Canis lupus familiaris: one gene and its partners. The protein of the gene in region 5 interacts with the protein of the main gene of each other region in a pairwise test. Links are inferred from orthologs where the notes say so. Each region holds a gene or a part of one and is shown on either strand. Other genes may lie near its edges. The genes, in order: HYPK, KRT20, TCL1A, WASHC3, TXLNA, CCDC146 and DEUP1.

Evidence for each region.
Region 1: the proteins of TXLNA (region 5) and HYPK interact in binary tests that used the Homo sapiens proteins (3 or more experiments, as listed by UniProt). The two-hybrid records come from large-scale screens. The link is inferred for Canis lupus familiaris from reciprocal best matches to the Homo sapiens genes TXLNA and HYPK.
Region 2: the proteins of TXLNA (region 5) and KRT20 interact in binary tests that used the Homo sapiens proteins (3 or more experiments, as listed by UniProt). The two-hybrid records come from large-scale screens. The link is inferred for Canis lupus familiaris from reciprocal best matches to the Homo sapiens genes TXLNA and KRT20.
Region 3: the proteins of TXLNA (region 5) and TCL1A interact in binary tests that used the Homo sapiens proteins (3 or more experiments, as listed by UniProt). The two-hybrid records come from large-scale screens. The link is inferred for Canis lupus familiaris from reciprocal best matches to the Homo sapiens genes TXLNA and TCL1A.
Region 4: the proteins of TXLNA (region 5) and WASHC3 interact in binary tests that used the Homo sapiens proteins (3 or more experiments, as listed by UniProt). The two-hybrid records come from large-scale screens. The link is inferred for Canis lupus familiaris from reciprocal best matches to the Homo sapiens genes TXLNA and WASHC3.
Region 6: the proteins of TXLNA (region 5) and CCDC146 interact in binary tests that used the Homo sapiens proteins (3 or more experiments, as listed by UniProt). The link is inferred for Canis lupus familiaris from reciprocal best matches to the Homo sapiens genes TXLNA and CCDC146.
Region 7: the proteins of TXLNA (region 5) and DEUP1 interact in binary tests that used the Homo sapiens proteins (3 or more experiments, as listed by UniProt). The two-hybrid records come from large-scale screens. The link is inferred for Canis lupus familiaris from reciprocal best matches to the Homo sapiens genes TXLNA and DEUP1.

What each region holds. Positions count from the first base shown.
Region 1 is NC_049251.1:10,827,206-10,831,399, forward strand, and holds the start of HYPK (huntingtin-interacting protein K), read left to right. Parts: upstream 1-1,394; 5' UTR 1,395-1,717; coding exon of another isoform or gene 1,718-1,896; 5' UTR 1,897-2,068; coding exon of another isoform or gene 2,069-2,245; 5' UTR 2,246-2,710; coding exon of another isoform or gene 2,711-2,809; 5' UTR 2,810-3,448; coding exon 3,449-3,610; intron 3,611-3,940; coding exon 3,941-3,996; intron 3,997-4,194. Other genes in the region: SERINC4 (serine incorporator 4), read right to left, coding at 1-102, 204-299, 480-691, 953-1,046, 1,177-1,256, 1,718-1,896, 2,069-2,245, 2,711-2,809. UniProt on the Homo sapiens protein: Component of several N-terminal acetyltransferase complexes. Inhibits the N-terminal acetylation activity of the N-terminal acetyltransferase NAA10-NAA15 complex (also called the NatA complex).
Region 2 is NC_049230.1:21,757,231-21,761,431, reverse strand, and holds the start of KRT20 (keratin, type I cytoskeletal 20), read right to left. Parts: upstream 2,801-4,201; 5' UTR 2,732-2,800; coding exon 2,327-2,731; intron 1-2,326. UniProt on the Homo sapiens protein: Plays a significant role in maintaining keratin filament organization in intestinal epithelia. When phosphorylated, plays a role in the secretion of mucin in the small intestine.
Region 3 is NC_049229.1:64,861,852-64,865,821, forward strand, and holds the start of TCL1A (T-cell leukemia/lymphoma protein 1A), read right to left. Parts: upstream 2,801-3,970; coding exon 2,681-2,800; intron 242-2,680; coding exon 71-241; intron 1-70. UniProt on the Homo sapiens protein: Enhances the phosphorylation and activation of AKT1, AKT2 and AKT3. Promotes nuclear translocation of AKT1. Enhances cell proliferation, stabilizes mitochondrial membrane potential and promotes cell survival.
Region 4 is NC_049236.1:41,205,656-41,209,942, reverse strand, and holds the start of WASHC3 (WASH complex subunit 3), read left to right. Parts: upstream 1-1,487; 5' UTR 1,488-1,593; coding exon 1,594-1,644; exon of another isoform or gene 1,645-1,879; intron 1,880-2,270; coding exon 2,271-2,369; intron 2,370-4,287. UniProt on the Homo sapiens protein: Acts as a component of the WASH core complex that functions as a nucleation-promoting factor (NPF) at the surface of endosomes, where it recruits and activates the Arp2/3 complex to induce actin polymerization, playing a key role in the fission of tubules that serve as transport intermediates during endosome sorting.
Region 5 is NC_049223.1:68,417,954-68,422,077, forward strand, and holds the start of TXLNA (alpha-taxilin), read right to left. Parts: upstream 2,801-4,124; 5' UTR 2,652-2,800; intron 2,114-2,651; 5' UTR 2,082-2,113; coding exon 1,904-2,081; intron 1,271-1,903; coding exon 932-1,270; intron 1-931. UniProt on the Homo sapiens protein: May be involved in intracellular vesicle traffic and potentially in calcium-dependent exocytosis in neuroendocrine cells.
Region 6 is NC_049239.1:17,673,170-17,676,669, reverse strand, and holds part of CCDC146 (coiled-coil domain-containing protein 146), read right to left. Parts: intron 2,730-3,500; coding exon 2,501-2,729; intron 1-2,500. UniProt on the Homo sapiens protein: Essential for sperm flagellum biogenesis and male fertility.
Region 7 is NC_049242.1:7,364,103-7,367,602, reverse strand, and holds part of DEUP1 (deuterosome assembly protein 1), read left to right. Parts: intron 1-1,214; coding exon 1,215-1,320; intron 1,321-3,500. UniProt on the Homo sapiens protein: Key structural component of the deuterosome, a structure that promotes de novo centriole amplification in multiciliated cells.

The DNA of each region.
Region 1 (4,194 bases), on a different chromosome or scaffold from region 5:
TGATGCCAGCACTTAGCACTGCCAGAGAAGTATCTGGTGTTTGCGATTCCATTTTACTCAGGCCAGGCACGCACAGAGTGTGATTCTGTCCTTGAAAGATTACTGCAAAAAGGCAACAGAAGAAAGGTGGTAAGGAAAAAAAGAGCTAAGTATTTGGTATGAACAAAAGGTTTTAGCAAGGGGAGTCCAGGTCCAGTCCTTACCACTTTCTGGAGGACGGCTGGACAGTGCAGAGAAAGTCAGGTACATGATGTAGCAGCTGATGATAGAGGCTTGTAGAAGGCCAGAACGGGGTTGCTCTGGGGAGAATGGAGATCATTGCTTTTGTCTACAGGGTAGTAATTTCTGCTCATATCCATCTATACTTCTTTCACCCACCCTTTGGAGGAAGCAGACCATTGACTAAGATTAGGGAAGCTAACGAATTTTTCTATACTAAAGGCCTTCCAGATTTGGAATGCTGCAAGGCATGTACCCACTGAGGCGGATGCAGGGAGCGATGGAGAGGAAGGAGAGGAGGCCACAGAAACAAAGGTGCAGACTAAGCAGCGTCTTGTTGAGCAGGCAGCCAGCTGGGTGTGTGTAGTGGTGGAACAGGAGCACAGCTGCCACACCTGCCATGGTGTAGAATCCCAGGGCAGCCAGCAGTACAGCTAGGAACCAGCGGCAGTCTTGGGCTGCACCTGTCTGCCTAAGGGTGGGAGGTGGGCAGTGGCTTGGGGCTCCAACTCTTTACCCTTTAATAAACTATTCCCCCCCCTGCTCCCGGAACACTGGTGTGACTACTCATCCCACCTAGCCTACAGAGTCCTCATGTTTCTGAGCTTTTTGGCACTGTTCAGTGGGAAGTTAGGGGGCCACTGGCCTGTCATGCGTTTTGCCCAACCCTACTGGGTCTAGTAATGTCAGACAACCTTCCCAGGAAGAGCCTTTAGGATTAAGTGCTCCTTACCAGTTTTTGTTCCAGGAATGGGCAAAGGCTGTGATAAGCACCAACTGCAGCAGGATGAACGTGAACCCTCCACAGATACCAATGTAATGCCAGGCTGCAAGTAGGGGGCACCAGTGGGAAAATGTAGCTGACCATGTCATTACTCCTGGTTTTCTTCCTACCCTCTCTTTCTTAGAAAAGCTATTAGCTTACTCCTGCTGATTAGGATATGAGATGGAAGGTACCTGGGAAGAGATGCTCATCAGGGATGCAGAAGGCAACAGCACAGAGACCTAGCAGGAACAGCAGTTTGAGGATCCAGAAGCTGGTTAGGAGACAAAACAAGACTCAAGAAAAGGCAAAGCGGAGTGAACAGTGCCTATGGAAGAAGGCAAAGGAGAAAGCAAAACTATAGGAAAGGGAAGAGAAGAGACAACTAAGTATAGGAAAGGAGGAACCAGTCCCACGTGAGAAGGGCTGGAAATAGGCCCATCACAGCTTATTCCAAATTCTCTCAGATACCTAAATAATATCTGGACAGTGTTTCACAGTTGACAAAGGGTTTGCATATAATAACCCCACTGTTCTCTCCATTTTAGCAACTAGAAGTTCAAAGAGGGTAAGTATGTGGCTCATGGTCACACAGTAAGTATGGCAGAAGCAGGAGCTTAAAGCTGTTTTTGGAGTTTTTACACTGCTGTTACTTCATCTTGGAATTTCCTTTACTCAGCCTATGTCTACTTTTCCTCCCCAGTCTCACCCCACCCAAAGTATATATACACAAACCTGTTGTGGAGCTGTGCCCGCAGGCTGGAGGGGGAGTGGAGCTGGACTAGCAGCATAGCCTGCAGTAGGTGGAAGGTGGCAGTTCCTGCGCATACTCGGTACACAGCTCCAGAGCCACTGAGCACTGGGCAGTGAGTGTAGCCAAACAGATGGACACATAACCCTGAGGGCATCTGGATCTGGAGGAGGAGAGTGCATGTGAGAAATAGCAGGGCAATTCATGAATAGAGAGGTACCTGCTTCTCATGGTTATATCCATTCAGTTGTCCCCTACCCCCCAATCTGAATTTTTTGTCTATCTGAGGGTTTCACCTTTCACTCTTGGGTTGCAACCTGAATCCTCCCTCTTACCCCATGTGCCTTCCCCCAGATTCTTTCCATTACTGTCCTTGACAGCAGGAGGCAGCAGATTGCTGAGGACCCCAAGTGGAGGAGGATGTAGAACAGGCGGCTACAAGCAGACTCTGTGACAAGGGGCCATCTAGAATGGCAGCTGCAGGTACAGGGAACAGGCTCACAGCAGGACACCTGGGGATAGAGCAGCAGATGGAGATTTGCTGAGGAAAAGTTTAATGTATGTATTAGGTTAACCCATGAGGCTGAATTCCAAAATTTCCCTTTCGTTTTCTTCTCTCCTTTCACTCAGGAATTCTCAGAATCTGGTTCCAAGCTATTTAGGATTGCCTTCCACTGACATCAAGTAGAGCTTTCATCATAAGAGCTGATACAGGCTTGAGCAGACCTTCCTAAAAGCCTAAGTCACACCTGGCCTCTCACCTTTCTGTTAGACCTATAGACCTGGTACTGGGAAGTGGGACAAGAGGTTTAATTTCAGGAGCTAAGAAAAGGAAAGGCCTCAGAGGGGAAAGGAAGGCCTATCATCTTTATTGGCTCCCTGGGTTTTCTTCCCCAGCTTCAGCCACCATTCCCTTCCATTTTCTTAGTTCCTGCTCTAGGGACCTTTCAAGCCCCTTTGCCCAAGTATGCTCTCACCTGATAGAAGGGAGGATTCACCATGATATTGCTGATTCCACTGCGTTGTGCCAGGTGGAGGGAGGTGCTGGGTTCTGTAACTGCCTTGGCACCCACCATCCTTGTCCCAGGGATTAGGCCCAGGTCCGCCAGATGGAAGTAGGATGAGAAAGTAGCTTTTTTTTGTCCTCAGCCATGGGCTGCCACGGTGCTGGGGGGTGATCACCCAGTCTAAAGGAGTATGAGGAGGGACATAACGAAAGGAACACCAACCTCCCGGATGTGGTAAATGCAAATGTCTCTGTAAAGCTACTTTCTTTGCAGGGCCTTTGGGCCACACAGGCTGTTCTCCCCAGATTATGGAGCACTTTGCAAATCTGGCCTCTAGTGGATTAGCATCCTTAATTGGTTTAGGACTAGACGTCATCCATCCTGGTTGAACAGAATTGATGGGGGCGGGATGGATTGGAAGGGGTAGAATCTAGGTGAAGAGAAGCTAAGGATGTCGGTTGGTGAGGGCCGGAGTAATGACGGGGTAGCTGTGTGGGAGGGCCTTGCAGAAAACAACACTAGAACCCCTACAGGAAGTCTGAGAGGCAACCCTCCTTCCTGACTGAAGTTTCTAGAACCCAGAACATTAGTGAAGGTGTGGCCCGAGCCCAGCCCCGCCTCATCCTCTCCGGGCGGAAGTTTCAGGGCAGCTACCGGAAGTCTTGGTGAGGTGGGGCGGGGCCTGTGCAGCGGCACGGTGGGATCGATATGGCTACCGAGGGGGATGTGGAGCTGGAGTTGGAGACTGAGACCAGCGGCCCGGAGCGGCCTCCCGAGAAGCCACGGAAGCATGACAGCGGTGCGGCGGACCTGGAGCGAGTCACCGACTACGCGGAGGAGAAGGAGATCCAGAGTTCCAATTTGGAGACGGTGAGGTTGGCCGTGAGCGTGTCTGGGCGGGCTGATAGCGGAGGGGCCTCTCCGGTTCTAACTGGAAGCCCGGCTCCAGGACAGGGTCCCCATCCCGTTGGCGGGAGGAGGCAAGAGGGAAACCGTCACTGGAGCCCGCCGCTTGCGAAAGAGAGTTTGGTGGAGATTGTGTTTAAAGTGGACCTCACGTGCACAGAATTGAGTTAAACCTAGGCCTTGGTTCCTGATACACTCGTCATCATGAATAGACCCTCCCTGACACGCTTATTAGCTTTTTAGATTATTGGGACTTGCGGGTGACAGAACGGTAAGTAGGTGTTTTTCTCATAGGCCATGTCCGTCATCGGAGACAGACGGTCCCGGGAACAGAAAGCCAAACAGGAGCGGTAAGTCTGTGCGCACGGCCAGCCCTACAAGTTCCTCCCTTTTCCCCATACGAGAATAAAAGCCATTGTTAAGCCTTTGTACCTTGTACCGTTCTTCAACTCTGTCACCAGTATTTGCATATATAAGGTTTACAACCTTGTTGGAAAGGCCTCCTCCAGCTGCCTGTTGTAAAAAACTCCGAGGGGAGGGGAGGCGGA
Region 2 (4,201 bases), on a different chromosome or scaffold from region 5:
TTTTAAAAAGGAAAAATTCTTTCTACTTGAGCCATCAAACCTTACTGAGTGCCTGTCATTTGATGTTGTTCCTGCTTAGAATATTCTTGTTACCCCTCCTCATTTGGTGAACTACTTCTTTTCCGCATCTCATCTTAGACATCATTGCTTAAAGGAAGCCTCGGTGATTTCCTCAAGGCAGAACTGGATGAACTGCCTATGTTCTCACTGCCCTGCCCAGCCCTCCTTGCTAGCATTTATCCCTCTGTGTGGGATAAATGTTCCTTTTGTCTCTGCCTGTTTCCCCCTAAATCACGTATGTTCACCATGATATTCCTCAATGCCCAGCATGGTACCCAGCAGCTAGTGTGTACTAAATATTGGCTAAATGAATGGACACCTGTTATGTGAGAGTTGTGCTAAGCACTGGAACTGTCAGGATGGGTATGCCCTCGATTTAAAAAAAAGGGGGAATTCACCTAATGGGTGAATTCTCTACGATACATAAGGATCTCGTCTGCTTTTAAAAGATGTTATAGTGACATGTATTTTTTAAAGATTTTATTTATTTATTCATGAGAGACAGACAGAGAGAGAGAGAGAGAGAGAGAGTGAGAGAGAGAGAGAGAGAGGCAGAGACACAGGCAGAGGGAGAAGCAGGCTCCATGCAGGGAGCCTGACATAGGACACCATCCGGGGTCTCCAGGATCCCGCCCTGGGCTGAAGGCGGCGCTAAACCGGTGCCCCAGTGACATGTCTCTTTCAACAGATCTAGTCCTGGAGTGAGCTGCCTTCCTTCCTATACTGAGTCTGCCCCCCCCCCCCCGCCCCAAATGGAACAGATGACTGTGTCTATGTGTTTGGGATGATCCAAAGTAGATTCAGAAACATGAATCATGAGACAGGTAGGGGAGAATGGTTTGCTGATTTTGACCATTTTTAGTGGGAGCCTGAGAAGAATGACCTGTTGGCAGAGAGATAATTTAGACACCTTTGCCTCACCTCCCCGTAGTTCCTGAAACCCCCAAAGTAACTTACAGTGGAGTCTGGTTTAAATTTCACTGACGTCTAATACAACACAAGAAAAAGAGACTTCCTGGTTAGGAGGTGGCCTTTGCTTTAAAGGAATATGAATGTTAAAAAAATAGAAATGAAAATGAATGGGATTTTCCCCCTTTGGTTAGATAAGAATTTGAAAGCAAAGCAAGTGCTCCTGTCATATCTGAACCCTTCAATTAGGAGCAAAGTCCATATCCTTTATTGCACACAACTGATAAAACAGAGCTCCATCTTTTGTGAGAGTAGGTTGTGGTATTGCAACAAATTTGAATTGGGGGCAATAGAACATTTTGTTCCTGTAGAAGTGATTTCTGAACTTGTGATGATGATGATGAGATCATTAAGCAGGACATTTAAAAATCTAGACGTCATTGAGGTGCTTGGGTGGCTCAGTCAAGTGGCTGACTCTTGATTTCTACTCAGGTCATGATCTCAGGGTCCTGGGATTGAGCCCCACATAAGGCTCTGTGCTCACCAGGGAGTCTGCTTGAAATTCTCTTTTTCCTCTCCCCATCCCCCTGCTCTGTCTCTCTCAAATAAATACATCTTTTTAAAAGATATTTTATTTATTTATTCATGAGAGACAGAGACAGACAGAGAGAGAGAGAGAGAGAGAGAGAGGCGGAGATATAGGCAGAGGGAGAAGCAGGCTCCATGCAAGGAAGCCCAATGAGGGACTCGATCCCCAGACCGGGGATCACACCCTGAACCAAAGGTAAACGCTCAACCGCTGAGCCACCCAGGCATCCCAATAAAAGAATCTTAAAAAAAAAAAAAAAAAAGAATGCTATATTCTTTCCCCTTATTTCCACCCTGAATCACTTTGTCATTCAAATTTATGATACAGTATCTTAATACTTATATTATAGCATTTACATAAATTAAAGGAAGAATTATCTCTAAGTTGACTGGGAATTCAAAAGTTAATGGGAATTGGGTGAAAAAACAGATTTATCATCATTGAAATTTCAGCTCTTCTCAGAAAAAAAAAAGTTTACTATTCACTTAGACTTGTCCTGGTAAACTGACAAAAATATGGATTTTATTTTCATATATTCTATGTAATTAGATTTTAAAAAGTGAAAAAAAATATGTACAGTCATCCAATTATGTAGTCAGCTACCCCAGCACTAAAAGTAGATGATAGAATGCACCATTTTTTTAGATATAGCATTTCAGCCTAATTGCTTTATAACATCCATTTGGACCCACCTAACATATATGCCCTTTTGGTATATATATCCTGCAGCTCAAAGGTGGAGTAGAAAACACAGGCGTCATCCCTTACCTGCTTTTGCAGCTCTTCCATTTGTTTGTAATATGCACTGTAGTCCTTGGCGCTGGGCGTGTTTGTTTTATACCACTCCTTGATCAGCGATTCAAGCTTGGAGTTGGACTTTTCCAGGGACTGCACTTTTGCTAGGTAGCTTGCTAGGCGGTCATTTAGGTTCTGCATGGTTGTCTTCTCATTACCAACAAACAGGTTTCCTTTGGTGTGATCACCCCCATAGCCCCTCATATGCCTGGAGGTTGAGATGCGGATGCCCTGACCTCCAGCTCCCCCATAGACGCTGGGTGCAGCCCCAAAGTACTGCATGTCCTCCTTCCTATACATGGAGCCACTCATGCTGAGTGCAGAGGTCTGTGGGGAGGAACTCAAGCCTCTGTGGAAGTTTCTGCGACTGAATTCCATTGGGGATTCTAGGAGGAAGCACCTGTAGCTTCTGGATGGCTGGAGCAGAGTCTGAGTCTCAGTGGTGGATGAGCTGACCTTTTATAGAGTTCGTAGGAAAGAAACGCCTCCTCTGCTGACCTCTTCTGCTGACATCTCGCTTTAGGATTGACACCACTGTCCACCGTGCCTTGCTTTGTTTTTTTCTTTTTCCCCTTTGTACAGCGATCTGTTTAGTTTCATTCCAGAAATTATCACTAGAGGCATTTCTTAGAGGCTTTTCTCAGGGGCGATTCCTTTTTTTTAAACAGAGGCAACAAAAGGAAACGGAAGATGTATTCTTTTAGCCTTTGCACCTGCCTTGACAGATTTTTTTTTCATCCTAATATACACAAGAAGAATATTTGCAAACATTGTGAATAATTTAGGTACCTAAAAAGACAGATGTGGGTACATAATAGTAAGTTACACTGGTGATCAAGAACAATGTTTTAGAATCTTTTAAAATTTGTCTTTTTCTTTTTGGGGAGAACATTTAAGTTCTATTCTTTTAGTAAATTCCTAAGTACAGCCTTATCAACTCTACACACATTTTACATTAGATCCTCAGACCTTATTCATATTAAAGATGAAAGTTTTTATCCTTTTACCTCTCCCTATTTTCTCTATGCCCCACACCCCCCCAGGCCCTGGCAACCACTGTTTCCACAAGTCTGACTTTTTTTCTTTCCTTTAGATTCCACACGTCAATGATATCATGCTGTATTTGTCTTTCTCTGTCTGGCTTATTTCACATAGCCTAATGCCCCCCGGATCTATCTATGTTGTTGCAAATGGCAGGGTTCTCCCCTTTTTTGTGACTGAATAATATTTCAATGTGTGTGTGTATGTGTGTGTGTGTGTGATTTTATCCAGTCATCCTTTTGTGGATCTTAGGTTGTCTCTATATCTTGGCTGTTGTGAGTAATGCCACAATGAACATAGGAGTGCAGATACTTTTGAGATAGTGATTTTGTCTCCTTTGGATATATACCTAGAAGTGGGTTTGCTGGATCATATGGTAATTCTATATTTAATTTTTGAGGAACCTCCGTATTATTTTCCATAGTGGCTGCACCATTTTACATTCCCACCAGTAGTGTGCAAGGGTTCCCTTTTGTCCACATCCTCATCAATATTTGTTATCTCTTGTGTTTTTGATGATGACCACTGTAACACAATGAGGTGATATCGTGGTTTCGATTTGCATAACAACGATTTATAAGTATGGATAACCACTCTTCAGAATCTCTGTTTTATGCTTTAAAAAAAAAAAAAGATTTTCTTTATTTATTCATGAGAGACACAGAGAGAGGCAGAGACATAGGCAGAGAGAGAAGCAAGCTCCTCACAGGGAGCCTGATGCGGGACTCGATCCCCAGACTAGGATCACGCCCTGAACCAAAGGCAGACACCCAACCGCTCAGGCACCCAGGCATCCCTTTTTTTTTG
Region 3 (3,970 bases), on a different chromosome or scaffold from region 5:
GGGAGGCGAGGAGGACAGGACAGGCCCACCCAAGATGACTCGACGGTGTCCAGGAGGAGGACACACTTGCCTCAATGTGGTACACTATGCGCCAGAAACTGGAGTCTGAGCCTCGGTATCTTCTTCCAGGGTAGAGCTGCCACATGGAAGGCAGCAGGCATGGGGCTAGCAGGCTGGGGCACATGGCCTCCCCTAGGGGGACATCTTCCTGACGCATGAGTACCTGGAGGCTGCTCTCCGTCTGAAGGGAAGGGAAGACCAGGGCATGCCTTCAGGGCCCAGGCTCCCCAGCACCCAAATACCCAGGGTCCTTCCTGCCACCCTCACGGCCCAGCTGACATCTGAAATGCTGGCGATCACTCTTCCCAGCAACTTCACCCCTTGCGCCATGCATGCCCCTCTCAGGCATCGGGCCAGGCGGAGATGACCGGCACTTACATGAGTCTAGACACCCAGACGGGGCCACACCAGGCCCACGTCTTCCTGACAAACTGAACATTCGTCCCTGAGCTTCCTTAGCTGCAGTTTCTTTGATTCTTCTTTATTTTGTCACAGAGCCCAGCCCCTTTTATTTATTCATTAAAAAAAAATTTTTTTTAAGTAATCTCTACACCCAACACGGGGCTTGAACCCACAACCCTGAGATCAGGAGTCGCTTGCCCCACCGACTGAGCCAGCCAGGTGCCCACAAATGCCCCATTGAAACAAATTTCCCCAGCACCCACAATCAGGTGAGAGACCACTTTTCCCCATCTCCACCAGTGCCCCTCTACTGCAGTAAGCTAACCTGCCACCTCGTTGGTCATGTGCCCCACGATCAGCTCACAGCACAGCAGCCAGGGTGTGCGTCTAAAAATCATGTCACCTCCTGTTTGACACCCTCCAGTGGCTTCTCATTGTGGGCAGAAGAAACTGCAGCCTTTACCATGGTCCACAGACCCACTAATGTGGGCCCGTGCCTCCCTCATCTCTTCAGTCCTCCACCTCCCACCCTGTTCCTCCACCTCCCACAAAGGCCTTCTTGCTCTTTCCAGGACATGCCACATCCCCAGTAATCTCTTGCATCTGTGGTCCTCTGCCTGGAACATTCTCGCTGAGATCTACACGCGGCTCACACCCTTCCTTAGATAGGTTTCTGCACAACTTTTTATCTACAGGGACAAATTTCTGCAAAATCCAGCTCTATGAAATACACATGAGGCCCGCATATCTAAAAGTGAGACTTACAAAGGTTTCAAATAAAATGATTGGACAAAAGCATGACAAACAAATGCAAATTAATTCTCTGACGGGGTCTTGCCTGTAGACCCCACGCCACTCGTTACTGCCTCTCATCCTTACACAACTTACCACCAGCTTCAATTATTTTATTGTTCTGCACCCCTCAGCAAGCATCAGCTTGCTGAGTAGCAGGATTTTATCACATTCCCCACAAAACCTCATAGCCTGGAAAGCAGGCTGGGTCTATAAACTAGGCATTCGTGTCTGCTCAAGAACTACTTTTCCAAAGTGGAAATCATTTTTTGTTTTTTGTTTTTAATTTGTTTTTTGTTTTTAATTTCCCATCTATGAGATAAATTAGAATTGTTAAATAATTCAGATCATCCTGCAAGATATGAGTGGAAATCACCATTCTTGCTGTGTTCGTTTATAGTTTTCTAGAGCCTCTAGACCACTTTTAGTCTGCGTGTTCATTTTTTTCTTATTTTTTTTTATTTTTTTTTTAAATTTATTTATGATAGTCACACAGAGAGAGAGAGAGAGGCAGAGACACAGGCAGAGGGAGAAGCAGGCTTCATGCACCGGGAGCCCGACGTGGGATTCGATTCCGGGACTCCAGGATCGCGCCCCGGGCCAAAGGCAGGTGCTAAACCGCTGAGCCACCCAGGGATCCCTTCTTATTGGTTTTAAGTCAATCTTTACATATTAAGGGCAGCCCCGGTGGCTCAGCGGTTTAGCACGGCCTGCAGCCCAGGGTGTGATCCTGGAGTCCCGGAATCGAGTCCCATGTAGGGCTCCCTGCATGGAGCCTGCTTCTCCCTCTGCCTCTCTCTCTCTGTCTTTTGTGAATAAATAAATAAAATCTTAAAAAAAAACTTTACAGGGATCCCTGGGTGGCGCCGCGGTTTGGCGCCTGCCTTTGGCCCAGGGCGCGATCCTGGGGACCCCGGATCGAATCCCATGTCGGGCTCTCGGTGCATGGAGCCTGCTTCTCCCTCTGCCTGTGTCTCTGCCTCTCTCTCTCTCTCCCTCTGTTACTATCATAAATAAATAAAAATTAAAAAAAAAAAAACTTTACATATTAAGAAAACAGGCCCTTTCAATCACATGGACACAAAGCCTGCCCCACATTGGGCTAGGGGTATGTTTCACGCAGGATCTATGAGGACAATGCAAAAACCTCCACTTTGTGGTCTTGGTGTCCTGTGCCCTAACCAGAGATTTAAATGCCAAGAGACACGGTGGTGGGGACCTGGGATTCCAGGCCTCTCACATCCTGCAGAGCTACCATAATATTTTTTTTTTATCTTTGTTCCTAATTCGGCGTCTGCACCGCTGCGTTCCGGGTGAAGCAGGCTCCGCTGCCCCCCACCCCCCCGCCCGCCCCTGGGAGTCGGGGCAGGTGGTCCCACCCCGGATGCCCACGCCGCGCGCCCGGCCCGCCCCGGGGCGGCTGTACCTCGATGGTTACGGGCAGCCAGGTGCGCTGGTTCTCGTCCACGTACACGGACGTCTCCCAGATCCACAGGTGGTCCGGGTGCAAGGCCGCGTGCGCCCTGAAGAACGGGAGCTCGCCCATGGCGCCCCGGGGCACGGGCGCGGGAGCCTCTGCAGCGCGGGAGCCCCTGCAGCGCGGGGTCGGGTGGGTCGCGGTGCGCGCGGGCGCCCCCGGGCGGCGGGGTGGGAGGGGCCGGGGGGGCGGGGAGGGGCGGGGCCGCGGGCGGGTCTGCAGCTGGACCTGCAGGGGGGCGCCCTGGCCAGGCCTGGGCTCCGGCTGTCCCCCCCTCCCCGCTCCCCGCTGCTGCTGGGGAGCCACCCCCTTGTCCGTGCCAAAGGCCTCTCGGCTCTCCGGGGCGCCCAGACCCCACTGTCCGAGCCCGCCACCGCGTGTGTGTGGCTGCTCACGTCCCACTAGAGACCGGGACGCCAGGCCGCTGCTGGGAACTCACAGTCGATGCCAGGCAACCCAGAGCCGGGCCCCCCTGCACATCTTCCCGGATCATGCGAGCCTGAACGAAGCCTGGACCCTCCCAGGTCCAAGCATCCCCTTCAGCCTCTGGATGGGGTGTCCGACTCGGTCTCCTTGGCCAAGTGCTACTCATGAAGCCCCGACACCCCACTCACCCCCACCCCCCTCCGCAAACACATTTTCCACGGCTTTGATGATGGTGTGGTCATCTAATAGCTATTGTGAAACACGATGGTGAAGAAACATGGGTTTTTTTTTCCCCTTTATAGGCTTTGAATTCATTGCTGAGCACATCCTTCAAAATGAATGCTTGAAAAGAATCCCTTCTCTCCGCCCCAAGATCAATGGAATTGAAAAGTCCCTGGGTTTCATGATCAAACCGGCTCTCTGTGAATTACAGCAAACAAGGAAAACAATGTCACTTCATTTTGCAGTACACCGCATGCCCATTAAGGCAATTAAGAAAATAAAGTACAATGAGAAACATGTAAAGCGAGGCCCGGCCTCGTTGCTCAAGCATCACCCCTGGCTGCAGTGTGGTGCTTCACCTTCCAGCTCCTTCCTGACTCTCTGCCCAGGCACTAAGAAAATACTCTGTGATCTTTCGAGATATCACAGAAATGAAAATGAGCTTAACCCTGATCCTCTGACAGCAAAGGTATGTATGTGCTGCTCTGCCCACTCCAAACAACCTAATTCCCAAGAAAGTGCTGAGGTGGCCTACAGTAATGGAGATAAATATATAATTGGATTTACCAGGAACACAAAAAGAGGAGACAA
Region 4 (4,287 bases), on a different chromosome or scaffold from region 5:
TTTTATCTCCTCCAGTTCCCCACCTTGCTCACTCTGCTTCAGCCACACTGGCTTCCAGGCTGAGATGGCGCTTAGATACATCAGTGTGGGAAACTCCAGGGGTTGGGAAAATGGCAAGGGACTGACAAAGGAAAGACGAATGGCCAGAGAGGTGAGAGGGAAGTCATGAAAGAGTGAATCATGTCTCTCTCCTGCTCAGAATTGTTAACGGCCTCCAGCACCTACAGAAGAAACGTCGTGACATTTCCGTTTAGAATAAAGGTGTGTGTGTGTGGGGGGGAGGTATAAAATGCAGATTTCTAGGCTCACCCCCAGAGGTGCTTGTTTTTCTAAGGTTAGTCCCTGGAATGCATTTTAAGAAGTCCTGACAGCTCCCAAATAGCTGATACAGGTGGTCCACGGATCACACCTCAGAGAAACCTGGAGTCTACTATCAAATGTGGCACCAAAGGCCTTTAATGAGCTGTTCTACTTCTCCTGACTCCTTTCTTACCATTCTCCATTTCTGGAAATTTTTTTTTTTTTTCTCCAACAGAATCAAGCAGCTTCACGTCTTCCCTACATACCATACACACCCCAGGACTCTGTGCCTTTGTAGAAAAGTCCACCCCCAACTGTCTGTCTGCATCAACTCCACTCAAGTACCTGCTAAAAGGCTATCTTCTCCGGTTTCCTCAGATTTAGGAGCACCTGTTATCTGCGGTGTACCTACAAGTACGGGGCCACGCACACCCACGTGGGTGCAGATGCACAGCTTTCTCAGCGCTGTTAGCACCTCTGTCTAGATGCAGCACTTCTGGACTCCGTGTGTCTGCCCTCAACTAGAAGTTTTCTGAAGTGAGCCACTATTTCTGCATCTTTTCAGTGCTGGGTGTCCTGGTTGGTGCACAGAAAGGGCTCCAAGATTGGTTGGTGGCTGCCCTGGGTCCTACAGGTGAGGAGCTGCACGGTTAACATGGGAGCCAACATCTTCAAATCCCTGATGCCAAGTTCGGTCTCGGGGTCTGTGTGTTGTACGTTTCCGACGATCGAAGCGGCTGTCACCTCCGTTAGTGTACGCCTCACTTGTAGCGTCTGACTTTGTGTCTCACGTTCTAAAGCCCTAAGGAAACCAGTTCTGTCTCCTCCTTCGGGGCATAAAGAAACCCCTTCAGGGCAAGCAGGCTCAGTATCTGCATTCCCCACAGGACCGAGGCGAGCATCCGACACTTCCCAGGTATATACTTAAATGTATATACTTTTTATTACCGAACGACTTAGCTATTTACCCGACGGTGGAGGGAAGCAGGGGTAACCCCACTCGCGCCGCCCCCTTCTTAAGATCCCACAGCTAAAGCCGCGGTCTGGTCCTACCCCGCGCCTTGCGTCTGACGTCACAGCCCAGACTTGAACTACCAATCCCAGAATGCCGTGCAAAGAGGCGGGCTCTCCGGGAGCGGTCGCGTGATTGGCGGGCGGAGGTGTTTCCTTCCGGTGGGAAGGGCGCTGGGGGGTGGGCCCAGGGGGAGGTGTTGGCACATCGTTGCCGGGTTGGGCGGGCCGGGTTTGGGAGGGCTTTGTGGGCGAGCCTCTGGTCCCCCACCCGCTGACAACATGGATGAGGACGGGCTTCCTCTCATGGGGTCAGGCATAGACCTGACCAAGGTTTGTAAAAGGCCACGTTGCATTCAGGCGCCCTGGGAGGAGGATGGCCACCGGACGCTCGGTCCCAGGGACGCCCCATCTCTCCGTGTCCACGTCCGTCCTGACCCCCGGCCTCTCCGGTCCCGTCCTCGGTGGGGGGAAGCCCCACAGTTCACTGTAAAGATGCAGGGTCCTTCCTGACCCGTCCCAGCTGGTGGGGTGCCTTTCCCGGGGTCAGTCAGGGGCGCTTCCTGAGTGCGGACTCGCTACGCACGGGGTACGCGACGGCTACAGGGGCAGGTCGCGACCTCTCACCTCACCTCTTCTGTTTGATCCCCAAGTGTTCCGTGTGTCTGTGTGTCCTGCCGTTACCTCCTAAAGTTCGCACTTGTGAATCCAAAGCTCCCTCTTAAACTTTGCAGCTTCTGTCATCATCGGACACCACACTCCCACAGTTTAGGAAAACAAGTTCGTGACTATTTCTAGTACTTCGAGTAACTCCTATAGCATAGGAAAGAGGCCTGTTATTATTACATGGCAAGGAGTGTGTGTGTGTGTGTGTGTGTGTGTGCATAGATGCAGATGTCAGTGGGTTTGCATGGTGTACTTTGTCCTGTACAAACCATGTTTGTCTTTACATAACACAGGTGCCAGCTATTCAACAGAAAAGAACGGTGGCATTTCTAAACCAGTTTGTGGTGCACACTGTACAGTTCCTCAACCGCTTTTCTACAGTTTGTGAGGAGGTAGGTCCGGTGATAATGGTTTAATGGGTAGCTCAGGAACCATCTTACACTTTGAAAGGTGGCAAATGAGTAAAACAAGAATTGCAGTCTATGTGTTCATTTACCAGGACCTCTCGCTGTCCAGGTGTCCTGGTAACCTTCCTTACTTAAATCCTGCTCCATTCTGTACCATCAGTCTTGCACCCCACCTCTGCAGAATTAGTTTCTGGAGGCCTTCAGAGATAGTTTACTAAGTCTGTGACTAAAGAGAACAAAAAGGAATTCACAGTCAAAAACATTACTTTGAAATTTGTTTCTATTACCCCAAAGATTTACATTGTTTTCCCTGAAGATTTACATTTTTAAGTACACATTATTTTCAGTTTATATTAAAATTATCGGGGCACCTGGGTGGCTCAGTCTGTGATTAATCACTGCTGCTTTGGTTAAGCGCATCTGCCTTTGGTTAGATCAGGATCCAGGCACCTGGCTCCCTGAGCAGGGAGTCTGCTTCTCCCTCTACCCCTCCCCCTCCACTCATTCTTTCTATTAAATGAATAAATAAGTAAAATATTTTTTAAAAATACTATTTAACATTCCTTGATGCAAATGATGGTTGGGGAAGTAGCCTCAAAACATAACTTTAGTATCAAATATCCTTGATATCAAATATCAAATATTATGAAAATAATAAAAATACTTTTAGCAAATAACCAGTTAAGGATTAGGTACCAGGTTCAGGGACCCCTGTTTTTTCTTCAAAAGCCAAAAAAGAGAATGGGAAAGAAATGGAACCATGGGTTTAAATTGGGTTTAAGAAAGGAGAAGGAGGAATAAAATGAGATCATTCACAGGTGAGTCAATAAAAACAGTATTTAGTTCACTGTTTTATTTATAAGGTATAGCTTTAGCAAGTAGTTTTTGTTAGATGAATTCCTATTAGCAAAAATTTGCATGGAGACAGGGAAACTATTTTCACATGTATAGCATATGTTATTTTTGTCTAAATTAGCAATCTCTAGCCAAAATCTCTTCTGCCTTCTCACTAAAACAAAAGTGAAATATGATAATTGATAGAGTCAGGGACTCTGTTCCATGTATTTTATCGAACAGGCCCAGAAGTTAGGTGCTTGCTCCCATGAGTTTTATCGTATATTGCTGCCTCTCTAAATGGGATATAGAATCTACTGACCACAGAGCAGTAAACCAAAGATTACTGGATTTAGTCCCTCACTTTTTATACCAGGATAGGCAGGGTGGAGAGAGAGGGTTCAAGGATTGTTAGCAGAGAGGAGCAAATATTCCATCCCCATACTCCTTATCACCAGATTAAAAAAATAAAACAACAACCAGCAAACACACCTATGAAGGCAACTCAGTTAAACTGCCCTGAGACAGGGGCAGCCCCTTACTTTCCTAGTGTTTAGTAATTTTCACTGCCTGGATAGTGAATCCTATTTACTAAAGACTAGATCAAATATAACTAATCCTCTCCTGTTTATTTATTGCCTACGTATTAGCAAAACCACGTGATTCACTCTTTAACCCCCTTCTGTCTCTCTCTCTCTCAGCTTCCCCTCAACTGTTTTGAGTGTCTCACTAGTCCCTACTTCTTCTCTTCCTTAAACCCTAGAGAAAAGTTTGTTGACCAAAAACTCGTGAAGTTTGAAGGTAGTTTATTGCCACCTTCTTCTTATGGATGGTAGTCTAGGGTTGACTCTAACTCATTATTTGCAAATTCATATTTTAGCAGTTTGGATATTTATGTCAATTGTTGACTGGTGTGATGACACTAATATTTATTGTCTGCTTATTCTGTGCTAGGCATTTTACTAAGTGTTCTACATGTATTCAATCATCACAGCCCAGCCCTTTGAGAAAGGTCCAATTTTCTGTGTTTTAGAAACACAGAAATTGAGATGTAGAGAGATTTAAATCA
Region 5 (4,124 bases):
CTCTGCCTGTGTCTCTGCCTCTCTCTCTGTGTTTCTCATGAGTAAATAAATAAAATCTTAAAAAACAAAACAAAATAAAACCAAAAACAAACAAAAAAAACCCTTTCCATTAGGATGACAAACAGAGGGTGGGGAATTAAGGACTAAGACACAGGTATAATATCACTTAACTCTGATTCTTTAACATACACACTAGTCCCCTGCCCCCAATAACTTTCTCTCACTGTGCTTCAGTCAAAGGGGCTTCCTTCTGTCTCCCTGGAGGGCTCCTGTACATAGCACAGCACCAGGCTCCTGAAGTGTCAAACCCAAGAGGCTCGAAAGATCAGTGTGGAGACTGCAAAGCACTAGCACGTAGGCCAAAACCCACACGAGTTTTGTTTGGCTCCCAGCATATTAGTTGTCAATTGTTTTTTTTTTTTTTTTCTTCAGTTGCCAATTGTTAAAAATCCAGAGAGATTTCACTTAACTGCATAATAACAAAGGGGAAAAAAGGAGAAAAAAGAATGAGGGGGGGAAAAAAAAAAAAAGGCTGGCTACACTTAGCCTGTAGTATTATATGCTATCAGCATGGTGGGACCAGATGGCAATCACCCCTTTGGATGAAGTAGGCAATGTCTTGTCCTCCTAGGGTCCCCTGTCTAACTTGGCTTATTTGTGTTTTCAACCCTGGGCTAGTCCAAATCTTACTGTAGAGAAACGAAAACTAAGGAACAGAAAGGAGAAAGGTCTTGCCCAAGTTTACAGAGCAGGTTAGAGATAGTGTTGGCTGACACAGGATCCCATCTACACCCCTCTGTTCTACGGTCCACACCCCTTGCTTGGATCAAACTAATGTGACTCGGTGCTCCAGAAAGTAATTTCCTCTGAATCCTGGGACAGCAGGTTAGCCCAAACATCCCCACCTCACCAGTAGCTGCCCTCTGCTCACCCAGACCCTTGGCTTTCTTCTTCTCCTGTGGCCTTCGGTGATCTCGGTCTCCAACCTCGTCACTGGTCCGGATCTCATCTGTGCCCGGCTCCCCCTTGGAGGTCTCCTTCTCACCATTGACCACTGGGGTCTCTGGCTCAGGCTCCCCATTCCTTGAAGCATAGGTCCGGGACTTGTCTGCATCTTCGGGTTCAGCAGGCTCACCCTGTGCCCCATCCTCACCTGGGCCCCCCTGATTGTTGTCCACACAGTATGTACTCAGGATGTCTTCCAACTGGCGGCTCAGCTCCTCAGAGACATCACGGAGGGCCCCGGACTGAGCAGTTTTGGCTTGTGCTCCTGTGGCAGGGCAAGATGAGCGGCAGAATGAGAAATGAGAAACAAGATGGTTAATTCCATTTGCTGGGATTTTTCAGGCCCAAACTTACTGGTTGGGGCTAAATGTTGCCTACTTTCTTTAAGCCTTAGTTTATTTACCCATAAAATAAGATTATTTCCCACTATTGCCCAATCATGTCTGTTATAGATGTGAAAGGAATCAAGGAAATAAAGCATCCAGCATATAGGGATGGCATGTACCTGGAGCTCAACATCTAGTCCCTCCCTTTCCCCTCCCTGCAAAAATCATTTCTTGCTATTAAAAAAGTTCTAAGAAAGCCTCCAACATGAAGAGTAGTTGCCCACTGGTGAATGCAGCATTTCTAAGCCGGGCTAGCTGGTTGGGTGTCTCATCTGAGCGCCACCTGACTTAACCCTGTCAGAGCCTTCTCTTAAGAGTTCTGCTCCTGTGCTTTGAGTGGGAGGCTCTATCAACACCCTGGGGAAAGAGGGATCTGCGGGTGGCAGTCCTCCTCTCATTCTACATTTCCTCCTTCCTGGGTAAACAGTGGCCTAGGCCTGGAACTCCAGAAGCTATCCTGGCGCACCACAAACTCCTCCCCCTGCCCGCTGGAAAGCAGAAATGGCACACACCCTCAGTCTTCCCTGGAGCCTGGCTGGAGGAACCTTCAGCTTCTGTCGCAGGAGCCGGCTGGCTGGGGCGCCCCTGGGTTCCCTCTGGTCCTACTTCGGCTTGCCCCGGGTTGCTTTTTGGGTTGGAAGTGTTGCCCGACTGCTTGGCAGCCCCGTTCTTTTTGTCTTGGTTCTTCATTGTGGTTTGCAATGCTAGGCTGGAAACAGATCCTATAGAAACAAGCACACTCGCTATATTCCAGACTTCAAAATTCTTCACAGCCTGGATCCGAAATCCCAATCCCGGGTGCACAAAGCTTCTTAGGACACACTGGCCGTCCCTCACCAGAGGGAGCCAACGGTTCTCTCTCTGGCCAGTCGGAGGAGCACGGCGCGCCCAGGCAGGTTTTCGGGGCGCTGCTTCAGAAGCGCGGCAGGCGAGGCCTCCTTTTTCTCGAAGCCGCTTCCCGGCACTACACAGCCCCCTTACCACAGGCCGAGCGCGGGATAGGCTCAGGGCCGGAGACTGACGTGGCGGGACGCTCGATTCCCATCCCTCCTCCGGCCCCCAAGCCCCACGTGGGCCCCCCCGCGCGCAGCCACCCACGCCCCGCGCGCCTCCCGTCCGCGCATGCGCACAGGACCAGCCCTGCCCCCCCCAGCCCACTCCCTCGCGCGGAATCGGCGTGATTCCCTCCACCGACCGAGAGTGTTCAGGCCCACCGACCTGCTGGTCGCCTTGTTCCCCCCAAACCTCCGCAACACGCACCTCACTGCCGACCTCCTGACGGCTTCGCCCGCTCTGGCCTCGCACCGGAAACCCTGGGTAACCGCTGCCGGCCAAGCCGCCTGCTCCTGCCACAGCCAATCAATAGCCGGCGCTCTCGCGGGGCTTGCTGGGAAAGATGAAGCGAAGGCAGCCTGAGGCGGCCTTTGAGGCGGGTGAGTTGGGCAGGCGGAGGGGGAGGGAAAGGACTACATGTCCCTCCATGCACCGCGGCTGACCCCCAACTCCCAAGATGCAATAGAAAGGACTTCAGTCCTGGGAGGCGGATACCCAGGAGGTCTGAAAGGAGCTAGTCATTCTGCACGAATACTGGAATCCGCCTGGTTCCTGTCGTGCAGAATTTATGATTCAGGTCCAGAGCCCTGTGCCTGGCTGTTCTTTCCCGCACGCCCTTACCAGCCTCAACCCTCTGCTGTGAACATCTATGACCAGGAACTCTGATGACAAGGGATAGAGCATTGGGCTGGGAATCAAGACCTGTATTCCAGTTCTAACTTCATCGCGAATTCGCTGAGGGGCCATTCTTTTCTTTCCCAGGCCTCATTTTCCGTATTCAAATGAAAACTTTTCATAACAGTAGTAGTTCTTTGCTTACAGTGTGCTTTCCCACCTACTAGCTTAATCCGCCTATTTACTAAGCTCAGTACTATTTTTTATTCCCATTTGCATCTGAGGACAGTAAGGCAAAAGTTAAATAACTTGTCCCATCGCTATTGAGTAGTGAGTAGGGATTCAAAATCAGAAAGTCTTCCGTTTTACCTCCTGGATTACCCTGACTCGTACCCAGAAGAAATTCACCATGGCACTTTCTCAAAGGATGAGTCAAGGTAATTTGGTGGAATTATTCCCCCCACCCGCCCCAACTCTGCGTTACCAGCTTGAGTCCTTCTCTGGAAGGGGTTGACAGGGCTCTGCAAGAACTTTGGCCTCAGCCAATTCCTGAACATTTTCTCTGACTGGCCCATCCTCTACAGACAAAATCGGAATTGCCATGGGCTCAAGGGGAAAAACCCAAACTTTCTCTAAATGTGAGATCACAGTTCTATATTCAGCTGTCTATACATAATAGAATAAAAGCTACCAACCCCTGTGCCTGGAATTTAATGTGTAAATGGCTTGGCTTTTGTTTCCAGTCAGTTCTGTCCATGCCCTTTGCCTTTTTTGCTCCCACTATACTCTATTTCCAGGATTTCCAAGTTTTTTGCAGGTGCTAGTCCAGTTTCCAAAATGCCCTTCTGGCAAAACTAGTATTTTGAGGTCTAGCACAAAGGTCATTTCAGACCCTTCCCAGTGCTCTGTAGTCTGTCCCAGCTCTCTAGGTCTGGATAGAGCCTTTTTTTTTTTTTTTGGATAGAACTCTTTAACATTTGTAATGAGATATTCAAATTATTTGCTTACAAGTCAATGAACATTACAAGAACTCTTGGCTAAATTGTATTCCTAAAGCCTAGCATC
Region 6 (3,500 bases), on a different chromosome or scaffold from region 5:
TTATCCATTGACTGGAAGCCCTGATTTGCAATGAACACACACAAAGTGCCTGTACAACAGGGAGAGAAGTTTTCTCTTGTGGATCTTTTTTTTTTTTTTTTTTTTTTTTTTTTTAAACTTTTATTTATTTATGATAGTCACACAGGGAGAGAGAGAGAGAGGCAGAGACACAGGCAGAGGGAGAAGCAGGCTCCGTGCACCGGGAGCCTGACGTGGGATTCGATCCTGGGTCTCCAGGATCACGCCCTGGGCCAAAGGCAGGCGCCAAACCGCTGCGCCACCCAGGGATCCCTCTCTTGTGGATCTTAATGAATTTAGAGTCCTTTTGATCTGCTGGGCATCTTGATAGTGTAGTATGGGCACAGATGGCCCTGAGGCTCTGTTTTGGGAAGGAGCTGGAGAGAGACAAATTATTCTATAAAATCGAGACAAGTGTGGAGTGCCTGGGGGACACTGTGGGGTGGTGGGGCTGCGGAGAGAAGAGGATGAAAGGTGGAAAGGCAAGCAGGTGAAATGGAGCCAGGCTAGGGTGCTGCATGGGCCAACACACGTGGACACTGTTAGCAGTGATGGGGTGGCTGCCCGTAGGGCTCTGCGGGTATGGGTATCTGATACTGAATTTGAGGTTCTTCACATTTCTATAATGTACCCCATCATGCTGTTGCCCCAAATCGTCAATCAGTTCACTAAGGTCTTGCATGAATGGTTCTGTGCAGGTAGGCTGAAGAAGGAGCTGGTCCTGAATCTGCATTGATGGGGCATAGAAGTGAACCAGAAAGTGTGTGTGCCAGTGGCGGGGGGGGGGCTATCCTTCATATGAACCACTCATTGGTAGTAGGAGTCAGACCCACAGGAATCCTGGGGAGGTGACCTTGGAGACCTGAGGGACTCCTGGGAGTGCCAGCCAACCCATCCACATCAGGCTACACTTATGAAAGAAGTGATTAGGAGAACTTATGACTAAAAACAAACATACATGGGGCAGCCCGGGTGGCTCAGCGGTTTAGTGTAGCCTTCAGCCCAGGGCCTAATCCTGGAGCCCCAGGATCGAGTCCCACATCAGGCTCCATGCATGGGGCCTGCTTCTCCCTCTGCCTGTGTCTCTACCTCTCTCTCTCTCTCTTTGTGTGTCTCTCATGAATAGGTAAATAAAATCTTAAAAAACAAACACACACTGGAATTAGAACCTTGGTACATTTATGCACAATGAAAGATCCCATCACTGATAAAGCATTTACACACTCAAATGGCATAAAAATATGAAAGTAGACCCGTTATCTGGTTCCATAGTCATGTAAATCCCATGACAGATTAAATGGAAAAAAAAAAAAACCCCAAAAAACAAAACCAGGACTCAAAACTGTCTACACATGAGCTAATGAAAACCGTTTACTTATATATCTTGAAAAAGACCAGAAGGCTCTCTGCCAGATTTTTGATAATTTTAATAGTGATTGTATCACAGGAATAGAATTTTATTTTTTTAAATGCTTGTATTTTTTCAAAACTTCATTAACTGAACATGTTTTAATTTTATCATCAGGAAAAAAAACTGAAAACAAATCTGACATTTTAGAAAACACACTATAGGTTAAAATTTGTTCCTGCTACGTTGAGTCAATGGAAAAAAGTGTAAGACACAAATCTTTATTTAATTTTTTTCTTCTATTTTCATTAAGAAAAAAACAATTACATGTGAAGAAAGTAGTTTTATGTTCATAATTTTTTATGTATATGTGTATGTATATTATTATATATTATTATTTCATGTTTAAATTGTTTGGCTTTATTCTACATTTAAAAAGACTGTGTCAGAGACCAGGCTATTCAATGGCAGGGAAACTACAGGGATTAATAAGGAGTGTAATTATATGTGATTGCTAATTAACAAATAGCAATCTCGGCTTCTAAGGTTAGGAGTTCTAAAAATGAGAGAATGAGATGGTCTCCAAGATCTTTCTAGCAAGCATGAAAAACATAGTTATGCTGGTGGCAGTGAAGGCCTGGACTCATTAAGTTTTGAGGTATAAGGAAGCTAGTGCTGAGATTCGGGAGGGCTTAAATTCCAAGGAAGGCAGAAAATGCTTCATGGGGAACCATCTGTAGCCTGCATTCCTGAAACATAAATTCCACCTGGAGCAGCAGAATTTTTTTTTTAATTTATCTATTTTAGAGAGAGCAAGCTGGGGGGGAGGGGCAGAGGGAGAGAAAGAATCTCAGGTAGACTCCCCACTGAGCACAGAGCCCTAGTGGGGCTTGACCTCATGACCTTGAAATCATAACTTGAGCCCAAATCAAGAGTATGACGCTCAACCGACTGAGTCACCCAGGTGCCCTGGAGCAGAGGCAGTTTTAAAGAAGACACGTAACTCATGGGTTTGTACAGGTACCAGGAAGGGCCTGGCTCAGTTTACATGTAAGAACTTGATATGATCTTCAAACCAATAAAGTGAGGGGAGGCAAATGGCCCCAGGAAGCGTCTGATGAATGTTTCCCCCACCTGAATTTGCAGCACTGCTAAGTCAGCATCCAGGGCCCTCTTGGTTGGCAATAATTTCTGGGTCACGTGAATTTGTCTTTGTTTCTCAGCAATCTTCAGTTTCAGGAATCGGATCTTTTCTTCCAGGACATGTATTTCAATTTCTCCATTTAGTTTCATCTTCTCTTGGATATTTATTTTTTCATAAAAGATGCACACCTCCTCTTCTCGCTGTATCAGCTGAACACCACTATGGCCAAAAGGAGAGGCAGAGGCTAAGAGGAAGTTGAGACTTATGGTAATTCCCTCTGGATTTGGGCACAAAACATCAACATTACGGAATTCCAGAAGACAATAGATATTTACTGTCTGCTCTCTAGTTAAACACTTTAAGTATTCCTGGGGATATGAGAGGGAGGGTTGTTTAGTGTCTCTGCTCTGAGCTGATCATGCAGTTGGCTGGTCACAGTATCTCTGCAAGTCCCAAAGGCTTTCTGAGGGTGGGAAAAAAATGTCATTCCCCATGCATGAATGAAGTGACCCCATAATCTGATTTTCTGCAGACCCGTTTCTTGGGCCCGGCTTGCCAACCGAGGTCTGGCCAGAAGTACCCAGGCAGGGGGCCAGGGAATGTGTTTCTGCAGTGATTCTATGGAACTTGCCAGGCCTATTAGGGTTTTTTTTTTTTTTTTTTTTTAAGTTGAATATTTTTGATGCAGATTTCCCCCTAAACAGGCAAAGCTCTGTCCTTTGTAATCACGCCAGGGGAAAGACCCCTCCATGTGAGGAGAATGTGGGAAAGAAACAAAGTAAGAATTTTCCAATTCCAGCCCTACAGGTCTGACCAGGGCCTGGGAAACATACTGCCTAAATAATTTGTTTTGTGCCGAGAGCCAAATAAGAGCACTTTTTTCCCCTCTCTCTCAGAGAAAACACCTGCCAGTAGTTTGAAAAAGTAGTGTCCTTCGCACCCTGAAGCTCTTCCCACACTCTGCATAGCCATTATCCCAGAGTTCATCTT
Region 7 (3,500 bases), on a different chromosome or scaffold from region 5:
CCTTTCAAATAATAGCAAATAAGAAAAATTTAAGACTGATTCTGAAATAATGTTGGAGGAGAATATTAGATAAAATGTTCACAATATATTACTGAGTAGGATACAAAAGGGGACTGAAAAATAATGCGTGATACATTTTAATTGTATGAGAAACATATGTATTTATACACATGTACATAGAAAAAAGATAATTAATATACACAAAAATGCCAACAATGATTTTCTTCTGATGATGACATTATACTAGTATATACTCTGATATACTCTGTTTTCTACAGTTAACACATATATTTGATAGAAGAAAAGCAATCCAGTCTAGATAAAGTACCTAGGGAATATCACTATTCATTTATACCTTTTTTAAAGATCCCTTTATTTTCAATATTTCCCTCAGTTATTTTTCAATCACTACTTGGATTTTGTGTTGTGTGGTTTAGGTTTTTGATTGATGGAACCTTTTAAAAAGTTCTTTGGACATCTGAAATTGTACTCACTTACAGGTGGGTACATCGCTCAAAACACCAGACTTTACCAGATTAGGCAAGCAATAGCATGCTAGTGTCCTTGCCTGACTATCTTTCTTTTTCTTTTTTAATGAGTTTTCATTTACCAACTTCCCTGATGTAGAAGTGAACCTGCTTGTATTTCTCCAAACTTCCTGTAGAAATGGTACTTTTTATACTAGTTTCTGCTTTTCCCCTCTGGTATCCATATGTGCTAGCAATTCTATTTTGTAAATTAAGCAGCCAAGGAACAGATGTATTTGAGCTTTCTCTGGGTAGACTGTCACATTTAGTCATTTTGGATCACTTTTATGGAGAAGTTGCCCCCCTCTGACTTCTGCTGACATAGTTCCTTCCCATGATGCATAAGCAGGTTAGATGCGTTTCCCTTTTCTTTAAGGGGGTTCCAAGTTATTTTATATAAAAATCTTATCTACATATGCAAACCCAGTATTCTGCCAATTTTCAGTGTATAATTGAAATTCCATATTAATTGCTACCTCTTATTTTTTTCACTAAAACCATTTGCACTCAGTTAAATATGTAAATACTTATGGGATCTGAATGTATGAGAATTTGCAATTTCTGGAACAGAAGCTTTTCCAATAAACTAATAGTCTATCTCTGCAACCTACGATAGTCTAAATCAACGACAGAATCAGGACAGTTTACCAAGTTAAGTTTTTTTTTTTTTTTCACTTTAATTTGTAGAGTTGAATCCTCTTATTCACCTTCTACTAAAGAACTAGAAAGGAAAAGGAAAGAGCTGTTCTCAGTGACCCTAGATCAACAAAATCATGAAAAAGAATTGAATAAGGTATGGAAAATAATGCGCTTCATCCTTTCAGGCAGATCTGAAGTCTCTGAACACAAAGGGAAGAGGAAAACCGTCCTTCACATTCCCTTCTTTTTCCTTCTGTATTTTCCCCTAAGAGAATAACCTACCAGGCTGCTAATTCTTACATTTTTCTGCACAGTGCTATAAAAGACACAAACCTTCCATCCTCATTGTGCCTCTGGGAAACTGTGGCTCCATCACAGGTAGCTTACAGCAAGAAGTATGAGAGCCCAGACTCAGGCATCCATCTGTCTAGTAGGTACATAAGCTTGGGGAAGTGGCCTGTGCCAGATGCTAGGGTTCCTCATTTCTAGGATGGGGATGGGATCCTAAGCACCTGCCTCATACAATTCTGATGAGGCTTAAAGGGGTGAATAATGACTTTGCTACCTAAATAGCACTCCCCATGCGCCAGGAGGGGCTCTAAGGGCCTAACAAACCTCAGCTCATTGATTCTTCAAACCACTTTAGGAGGTAGGTACTAATACCATCTTTTACGTTTGAGGACAGTCAAGCACAGAAAAGTTAGGTAATTTTCCCCATATTACACAGCAACCAGGCAGATTGATCATATTTGAATTCAGGCAATCTGACTCCAGAGTCCATACTCTTCCCTTAGGTTAAAATCCATTTAAAAAACGCACATCAGGGATCCCTGGGTGGCGCAGCGGTTTGGCGCCTGCCTTTGGCTCAGGGCGTGATCCTGGAGACCCGGGATCGAATCCCACGTCGGCTCCCGGTGCGTGGAGCCTGCTTCTCCCTCTGCCTCTCTCTCTCTCTCTCTCTCTCTGTGACTATCATAAATAAATTAAGAAAAAAAATTAAAAAAAAATAAAAATAAAAACGCACATCAGATGCTTAGAGCAGGGCCTGCCTAGCTCAGATGAAGCACCCAACAAGGGAAGGCTGCCACTGTTAATGGTTGCACCCACCTTTTGTCACTGAACACCTAACTGGTGCCAAGTAATCTGCCAGGAGCTGGGAATACAAGCATGGATAAGGCCTGGGCACTGTCCTCAAAGGCCGTGTGGTTCTCAACTCTCTACCACAAGTATATTCTCTTCTCCCTGTAGCAAAATCTAGTTGGAGTTTCCTTTCCATGAGCTTATCATGGCTTCTACTCATGTCTCTGGTCTTTAGGTTTGAGGACCACACCTAGATATTCAATGTTATATGATCTAAACAGTTGTTAAAAGTAGGGAAAACCTGGGCATGGCTTCGAATCATCATTTATCCCAGCACAGAGCCTGACACACAAAAGTGAAAATAAATATTTGGAGAACAAATGAATTAATATCAAGGTTATGATCTCCCATACCTGAAGAGGCTCATAAATTTAGTTGTCGTGTGTATAAATTCAACATTTATTGCACATCTAGTATGACTATATCTATTCTGCTTATTTCTGTAGGAAATACAGTGACACAAAAGACAAATCCTGTCTCCCAAAGAGTTGACTGTCAGGTAGCTAGTAAGTGTAGAAAAGGTATTATGAATTAATGATCATTTTCCTTATATTTTTGCTTAATTCCATGAAACTGATTTTACTATTTAAACATAGAATTTTTTTAAAAACTGTTCTTTATTGGTGTCTGCAATGAACGCATTATGATAAAAAGACTGATTAAAGCCACCTAAAGTATATTTATACCGTTCTTAACCTCATAGACTTGATAACACTTTGAATAACAAGGAATCTACTGACACTGCACAGTTGTGCTCTGAAGGAAGAGAACACTAGGCACAAATTCTCTTCATAGGCTCTTGGAGACCTCTAGATAATGCACTGCTGTGCAGGAAAGGTAACAAATGAATTGTGTATAAATAGCTATAGCTCCCAGGAAGTGTTTGTGGAGAGCATTTCTATTCTCTTGTAATAAAAGCAACAAGAGCCATGTATTATGAATCTTGCAAGTGTTTTATTTCTCTTTTTTCAGTGTAGAACTATTTTTGTCATGTATTCCGTGATGAAATTGACATTTTTAATTAATAAAGCCAAAAGTCATTTAGAGCTCAGTAAATTAATCTCATTTAGAGGGAAGCTTTGCAGGAGAACATGTTTTAATATCTAAATGCTCTGAAAAAAATAAAAATAGTTTACTCCTTTTTCATGATAGTATATTCATCTTTTTTACATTTTGAAAGTTCCATTTTAAGAG